2 linked regions of the Tribolium castaneum genome follow. The protein of the gene in region 1 purifies or fractionates together with the protein of each later gene. This does not show direct contact. Links are inferred from orthologs where the notes say so. Each region holds a gene or a part of one and is shown on either strand. Other genes may lie near its edges.

Evidence for each region.
Region 2: the proteins of hsp70-binding protein 1 (region 1) and erythroid differentiation-related factor 1 purify together in Homo sapiens (affinity purification with mass spectrometry; 3 studies listed by BioGRID and IntAct, counting the BioPlex papers as one, with this or other methods). This does not show direct contact. The link is inferred for Tribolium castaneum from reciprocal best matches to the Homo sapiens genes HSPBP1 and EDRF1.

What each region holds. Positions count from the first base shown.
Region 1 is NC_087395.1:16,048,522-16,052,423, reverse strand, and holds hsp70-binding protein 1, read left to right. Parts: upstream 1-1,547; 5' UTR 1,548-1,995; intron 1,996-2,057; 5' UTR 2,058-2,153; coding exon 2,154-3,164; 3' UTR 3,165-3,242; downstream 3,243-3,902. Other genes in the region: uncharacterized protein LOC100142079, read right to left, coding at 3,421-3,837, 3,889-3,902. UniProt on the Homo sapiens protein: Inhibits HSPA1A chaperone activity by changing the conformation of the ATP-binding domain of HSPA1A and interfering with ATP binding. Interferes with ubiquitination mediated by STUB1 and inhibits chaperone-assisted degradation of immature CFTR.
Region 2 is NC_087397.1:550,133-554,584, reverse strand, and holds the start of erythroid differentiation-related factor 1, read right to left. Parts: upstream 3,049-4,452; 5' UTR 2,893-3,048; intron 2,723-2,892; 5' UTR 2,710-2,722; coding exon 2,507-2,709; intron 2,463-2,506; coding exon 1,951-2,462; intron 1,892-1,950; coding exon 1-1,891. Other genes in the region: mus301 (helicase POLQ-like), read left to right, coding at 3,376-3,415, 3,457-3,570, 3,707-4,452. UniProt on the Homo sapiens protein: Transcription factor involved in erythroid differentiation. Involved in transcriptional activation of the globin gene.

The sequences.
Region 1 (3,902 bases):
AAAATACTTTGCTCGCCTATCGAGTTTTATTGTAGCTATTTTTTTATTTAATTAATTAGAGTGTTGTTTCGCAACATTTGCTGAATTGTCAATTTGTTCTTGTATTTATCTGTAATTCCATATTAGGTTCGCTGAATTAACGTAATTTTGGAAAGAAATTACAAGTGGGCTCAAGGTGCAACTATCACTAAATCTATTTAAGCTTAAAAATATGATAGGAAAGTTTTGTAACATGAAACATTGTGACAAAATCTGGAAGTTTTTTATTAAACAAATGAATAAAATAAATATACAATGTGTTTTTAAATGATTCTCATCTAGTTAACTTTGAAATTGGTTTACATGTCAAAAAATTTATGTCGTTCTGCTCAATTGATTTGTCAATAAATGTCAAAACTGTCACTTGTGAAATCATAAATTGTCAATTAATTAATTTTAAAAAAATGGTAAAATGCAACTAAATTGTTACACTGTGTAAGAAAACACTTTTATTATCGAAGTTTATTTCCGACTTGTAGGCTTAGTAAATATTCCATGTCTAAATTAATACTATAAAGCGGCATTTCTGATTTTTCATCACACAGACTACTAGATGAGAATCATTCTAACACACATTGTACAATTGTTTAATTATATTTAAAAAAAATAAGAACAAATGTATCAACAGATATGTCTGTGCGCAAACTTATTCTAAATAGTTTTGGAAGATATACCCTCAGATATACCTAAATAACTTTCAAGTTTTAATTTTTTTGTTATACTTAATATTTTTTAGCAAACATCAAATTCACCTCTACGTTATTAAAAATAACTGTTAGAAAACTTAATTTGAATGAAAAAAACTTAAGTTTTGAATGAAAATAGTGTGTTAATAAAGACTACAGTATTCAAAAATACATACCTACCTATTTTAATACGTAAAAAAATGTGACAATACTCAAATTGTGATCGGTGGGGTAAAAAGTCCAACTTGGAAAGGCAATTTCGGCCTAGGTTTCGTCAAAAGGATTCGGGATATCGAGAAATTCATTCAATACCTTTTTTTTTGTTTTTTATTAAAATTTTTGCTATTATGTACAGGTCAAAAGATTTATGATTCTCTCATATTATTGCAAACAGAATGGTTGACTTATATTCCACGTTATTTAATAACAGACATCAAGCTGAAACTCTAGCTTTAAAAGTCATGGTAAAAGGTAATCCCTTGTATCGTCTCTATTTTCGTGTAAACACGGTTATTCAATTACTTTTCTTGGTTTAAAATTAAATGGCAAGGCCAGACAGCTTATTTTACGGTTTAAGGTAAACGACACAGACCTCATCTCCAAATTCCTTCTCTAAAATATTTCAGTCAACATCAGAAATAGAAATATTTAACAAAATTATTTGAAGGTCGCCGCCAACAAAGAATTCACCAATTTAAGCCCAGACAGTAATAAAATCGTAGTTATTTTCCTCAAAATCGCTTCCTTAAGCATCAAATCTCTTATTTGCATGTTTTTAATTCAAAATTTTTACAGTTTTGGTCCCAAAAGTGTAGCTTATATTGACGATATAGCAGTGATTCTGTCGACTGGGAGCGTGGCGCACTCCTGTAATCCAGCTTCTTGGAGGTCGGGTTCAGTGGATGGTTTGAGGTTGGGAGTCCTGTTGCAAAGCGATTCACGTTGACTGGATGTCCGCACTAAGATCGGCATCGATATGGACATCCCGGAGGAGTCCGGGATGTCCAGGTCAGCTAAGGAGGGGCGAACCGGGCCAGGGGGGAAACCCAGCAGCCAAAAGTCCCCGTGTCGTTCAGTAGTGGGATCGCGTCTAGGAGTGGAAGCTTTGTGACAGCCCAATCAATACAGCTAGACCTGGGCCTTTTTGCCCTTTTTTTCCATCTTTGCTAATTATTAAACAATTTAGAAACCGTTATTGTTACCAATTGTGGGTTTATTCCACCATAGAAAATTATTAACTGGGGGCCCCTCATTGTTGCAAAGTCAATGGGTATGTATGCAACCAACATTGCAATTTTGACATTGACAAGCGATCATAACCTCAAACTCCAGAACGTTCGAGACATTTTCGCGATTCTTCACTCAAATATAAATCCCAGCATTGTGCTCACGCACTGACAGTGGTTGTAGTGCTGAAAGTGAGTCAAAATGACCAGTAACCAGGAAAATCAGCCCCAGATTGCGGGCGCAATTTGCGCGCCGCCCCCTCAGCCTCCAACGGGCGACGTGCCCCAGCCGCGTCAGCCCACGAACCTCCAGGGGCTCCTTAAATTCGCCATGGAGGCCACCAAGCTGGAGGACGCCCCCCGCGAGTCCACCTTCCAGCCCATGGAAGAAGCTCGCCGGAAATTCCTCGAGGAAGCCCTCAACTCGCTCACAGTCGACGTGATCGAAGTGTTACTCAAACAAATCAAAATTCTCGAAAAAGTGGACACGCTCAACGCCGGCGATGACGACAGCGAATACACAACAGCCCTTGACACGATCTCCGACTTTGTCTGTGACATCGACACTGCGAACGATTTTCACAAAATTGGGGGCTTCGTGATCGTGTCGCCGTGCCTCAAGTGCAAAAGCCCCAAAGTGAGGGCACAAGTGTGCAATTTGTTGGCGGAGTTGTGCCAGAATAACGCCTACTGCCAACGAGTGGTGCTCGAAAGTGGGATTATGCCGATACTTGTGGAGATTGTGGAGCAGGATCCGGAGGTGTCAGTGGTGGTGAAGGCATTGTATGCCATTAGTTGCATAGTGAGGCAAAATACGGGGGCTTGCGCCCAGTTTATACAATATAAGGGGGTCCAGGTGTTCCTGGAAGCCCTCAAACGAAATGAGGAGAAAATCAACACAAAAATTTGTTTCCTCTTGAGGGCGTTGTGCAGCTCACAGGCTGATTTTAAAAGCCGCCTTGTTTTTGTGGGTTACATTCCAGTTCTATTTTCCTTACTCTCAACACCTAAGACAAGTGACGAACACGTCCTAGGCCTCCTCCAGAAGTTGATTGAAGACAACTCAGCCGCCATTAACGAAAGCAGACAAAATAAAGTGAATGCTAAGGAAACCCTCGAAAATTATTTATCACAAATCAAGGGAAAGGAGGAATATTCCAATGAAGAAGAGTTGTGTGATACCATCTACAATACTTTATTTGCACAGAAATAAAACGTGTCATTGTATTTATTTCACATAATTAAGTTGTACTTTTGCAAAAATATACGCTTTTATATAATATTATAAAAAGTTGTTCCAACTCACGACACCTAACACTAATATCATAACATGCTTAAAATTTTACATAAACTTAATTGTTTGCAACAATTTCTCTCAAAAACCGGAACAAGACGTGATGTAAAATATCAGATAATATCAACTACAAGCACCTAAACATAAACACAATTATTGCTTCGAAAAATATCCGTTATTGCAAGTCGGCGAGACGATTCAGGAGCGTTTCAAACGATTCGTTACCAAATCGCGAATGCCACATTTGGCTGATGAAAAAATTCGGCACTTGTTCATAATTAAAAAACTGGGCTTCCTCGCACACATTCAACGCCAACTTCCAGATAATTTCCAAGTTGGCTAGGATTTCCTGATTGGCTGAATTGTGACGTGCGAGGCCTTCAACGCTCACTATGGTGGGGTAAATGTGGGACAATTTTTGCAAATCAAAAAACGAACACAGAGTGGAGTCTTGTCGCGAGACCAGAATGGAACCAGGGACGACGACGTCTTGAATCACCGTCAAAATGTGCTCTTTCACGTCCATTATTTGCTGCACGTTGTTGCGATGGTACCGGTTTAAGGCCTCGAACCAATAATTGGGGGGAATGTCCTAAAAATATCAATTGGAAACTGGACTATTAATTTCAGTTGGTAGCACTACCTTTATTTCAGCAA
Region 2 (4,452 bases), on another chromosome or scaffold:
AACGCAGTCGAGAGCTCCCACCTAACAGCATCCCAAATCCCAGGACAGTGTTTCCGATCCCCCAAAACTTGCAACGCCTTCTTATAATTAATAAATGCCTTATTATAGTGCAACTTTTCTTTTTGACTCAACTCGCCCCGGTTTTCCGGCGTATTAGCATGTGCTAAAAGTCGATGCATGTGACCCATATTTGTGTACAAAAGTGCAACATTCGCCTCATCTTTAACCTTTTCGAAAACAATCAAACCTCTCGTTAAGTACGGTTCAGCTTTTTTGCACATTTCCACAGTAAGATCGCTCGTTTTAGCCGACTTGGCTTTATTCAAATAAAACGAGGCGACTTCATTTAAACCGTTACCCAACCGCCGTAAAATACTATCATTTTCGCTTGATTTTAACGCCACTTCGTAACACTCCACACCTTTGAGAAGAATTTGCTCGATTGTGCGAATATCGTAAATGAAAACGCACTTCATGTTCGACTCGCCGATGTGGATGTTGTACAATTGCTCGTCTTTTTCGAGCTGTTCCATCAATTTTAAATCTTCCTCGGAATTGTTTTGGAATTGCTGGCGGTAACTATCGACTTTATCCCAGTTTTGGATCATCATAATGCAACAATCGCCGGCTCTGCCCAGCAAACAATTCTCCTTCAAGGCGTTGGAATTGTAAAGGAGGCGGTTCATCACCAACTGACATCTAGCCAACAAACCAATCGTCCTCAAACTGTTACCGTAATTTCGGCCACCGAAATGTTGTTCCGACAAAATTGCATAAACCAAGACCGCTTTTTCATAAAGTAAAGTCTTGAGATGGTCCTTCCATGAGATATTTCCCGTCCCGTTTTGCCAAGTCGGCAAAGGCTGAGTGTTGTTTTTCAAAAGTAGGGCATTTTCACTCTTTTTCTCGTTCTTCTTTTTTTTGTCTTTCTTTTTTTGTTTCTTTTGACCATCATTTGAATCAAGCTTCCCGTACGGCATTGGAATCGGTTCAAAAGGCTTGGCAACAGGAACTTCCTCCTCTTCGGCTGTTTTTTTACCACTAGCACTAGTTTGGTGTTGTTGGAAGTATTGCAAGCAATTAAGCCCGGTTGCCACATGCTGTACAGCTTGTAGACACCGCTCTTCCACAGTTCCCGTAATCGGCGGTGGCGACTTGTAATAATTAACAAATTTCTCCCTAGAATCACTCTGATCCAAGACGAGAATTTTCGTAGCTTTATCGTCTTTATCGTCGATCAAATCGTCATCGTCAAACTCATCATTTTCGTCCACTTCCTGCTCTAAACCAGGCGCTTCGGGATTGGTCCCTGCCGGGACGTACAAATCGGCCAACATATAGTGCGAGGACGTGACCACTTCTGGGTATTTTTCCTCCGGTAGCAACTTAACACAGTTTTTAAGCAACATCCGGATTGTTCCGGGTTGCCGATCCGATGTATGTTTCATATTACGCGCTACTCGGTATAATAACATACCCACAGGTATAGTGAAGGGATTTTGACCATTTTCCACATCTTTCTCTGAGCAAAGTGAGGTCAAGTCGTATAATTTCACAACCTCTTCGTCTTTTCCCTTGAATAGCCAATAAGTGTGGCCGGCTTTGGTCGCGTTTGACTTAAGAAACGATAAAATGCTTTGAGCAACGTCTCGAATTAATTTAGGGGAAAATTTTGAATTATCTAAGCGGGGTAAGTCTTCGGTTTTGATAAGTTCGTATTTTTGGACGATGCCGTTCAAGTGGTAACACATTACGACTTCGGGAACGTTTGACATTAAATTGTCTAGCCAATAATCGATGCCTGTTAGCACGTTGATTGGTTTACTGACGTCTCGAAGACGGAGTGAGATGCAAGGGTGGGTGCCACCACCGAATATCGGTAAATCCGTACCTGGAAAAATATAAAAAAATTTGATTCAAGGAAAATGCAAAATTACAAAAATACCGTACCTATTAACATTTCAATGTCCTCAAAAGTCCAAACAACATTTCTGTTGTAATTGTGATCAAAGGGCTTGGGATCGGGTGTTGCGGAGACAGGTTCAGGCAATTGGGGTCCGTGTAAAGGTACAGGAAGGGTTTTCGGGTCCTCATAACACGTATTTTCATTAGTATCACCTTCGGCCAAACTATGATACAGAAATTTCGAAACTAGACTTTTCTGTTGTAAGGTTTCCCGTCTTCGATTTTTAATGTACATATTCTTGTCCTCTTCGTAAGTCTCATGGTTGACATTTTCGAAAAAGAACTCTTTGAGCCACTTCCATTCAGTTTCGGAGGTTCTCAATAAATGTTTGTAAATATCAAAATCATCAAGTAGGAGAGTGTTTTCAACTCTGTGAACCATCATACTGATGTGGTTTTTGCAGTAGGGTATTTTAAGCAGGTTTTTTATGTTTTCCGCATCCGAAACCACATCTACTTCTCCCACACAGTCAGGGAACATGTGGGCCATTCTGAAACTATAGAAAACTTCTCAAGTGAACAATTTAAGACAAGAGCTAACCTTGAAAATCCCTTCTGGTGGTAGAGAACGTGCTGTAAGCCGTAAGAATCGGCCGAACTACTCAACCAATTTGAAGGGGGTAGGTTTAAGTCGGTGTTACATTTTAATCGAATGAATTGGGCCGGTTTTGGAACGGAATACTTCACAACGGCCCGTGACTTGACCTCCTCACTGTCGGCCGTTTCACTATCTTCATTTTCCATAATGGGCGGGTTACTGTAATTAAAATGCAACTGGTTGACCATAAGGATCACAAGGGAAATACACAACCACTTGAACCACTCTGAAGTGCTAGAACACCACCGATGATCAGTTCTAGAACATTCCACCTCTTGGCTCAAATATGTAATTTACAACGAATTCGTGTTAATTGTAACCACACATACCTAATGTAATGCACGGATGTGTTGAGTGTTTATAATCTTCCCGTTTTTGGATATTTAGCAAGGTTGAATTTTTGTGAACGACTTTTAAAATTTCTTTGACATTTACAGTTTGACATTGCGCGAATTCGAGCAAGCGCCAAAGTCTGATTAAATAATTAATGATTAATATTTATTGAAATAAATAAAATTTAAAGACGATACAATATCTACTAACCCAATGCTACTACAAAAGTAGCATTGTAGCATGTAGCATTAATTACAGTGATTGGCTCGTGTTCGTCTCGGCGCAAAAGAAACAATTGTCAAGTTCAAGATTTGTCTGTCAAAAGTTATATTTCGAAAATTTGTTTTATTTGCAGTTTTGTGTTTAATATTTTATATTTAAATGGTTTAAATAAAATAGATAAATGTAGCAATAGAGGTGCAATTTGATAAATTACTAATTTTGTGAAAGTGTTATTGGTTAATATTCAGGGTGATAAAATGAACAGCTTGAAGCAACCCCACAAAAGAATACCTCCAGGTTTTGTATTTGTATTCAGATTACCATAATAGTCATTTTAGTTTCTACAGAGCCCAACAATGAAGAGTTCCTAGTTCCTCAAGCACCCCGAGGACAATTATCCCAAAACAAAAGTCAAAAGTTCTCTGTGCTCTCGCTTTCAAAAAATAAAAAAGGTAATAACTAATATCCCAACGCGTTTCTACGTTTGTCTATATTATGGAATTAGCGCCTCTAATTGATAAAATAATTTCAATAATTTTTTCTACCGATTGTGCAACCAATTATACATCATGAATAATTTTTTTACAGTACAAAGTGAGAAACCTCCGGAAAATCATAGTGGTTGCAAAACCGGGACTAAAAAAAGGTTGTCTAACGAGGCAAAAATAGCCGCTGATAAGAAATGCAAACTGGAGGAATGTTCACTTGATGACGATTTATTTGATAATATTGATCTAACTCAGCTACTAAATGATAAAACTAATAAAAGTACGGCACTTTCAACGCGCTCAGCCAGCGACAATTCCTTACATAAAGTTGTTGATGCTTCACAAAAAACACCACTGTCTCTCAGATCAAAAAATGACCCAAACGAATCACCAAAAAAACCATTACTGACTCAATTAACTCAACTGTTTGAGAACAGTCAAGCCTTGAACCAGATTGAGACCATAATAAGTGAGAGTAACACGAACAGCACAATTTTGCGCGAGAAAAATTGGGGTGCAAAAATAAGCGAGAATTTGGGAGACGTTTTAAATGAAAATAATCGCGACGAATTGGAGTCATTTTTCGACCAAATCGAACATTCGGTCAGCGTAATGGGCTCAGATGTTGAGTCTGTCGATAAAGACATTTCGAAAATTTTGGAAGGACTTTTCGGGACGCAAAAAGTGGAACAAGAATCGGATAAAAATAATGAGAATGAGAATGATATTACAATGTCTGGAATTAATGCGAGTTTTGCTACGGCCTTAAAGCAAGTGCTTTTATCAAACATTACTAAAGACGTAATACCGGTGAAAAAAGCCAAAAGTGAGACGATTGGGGAAGAA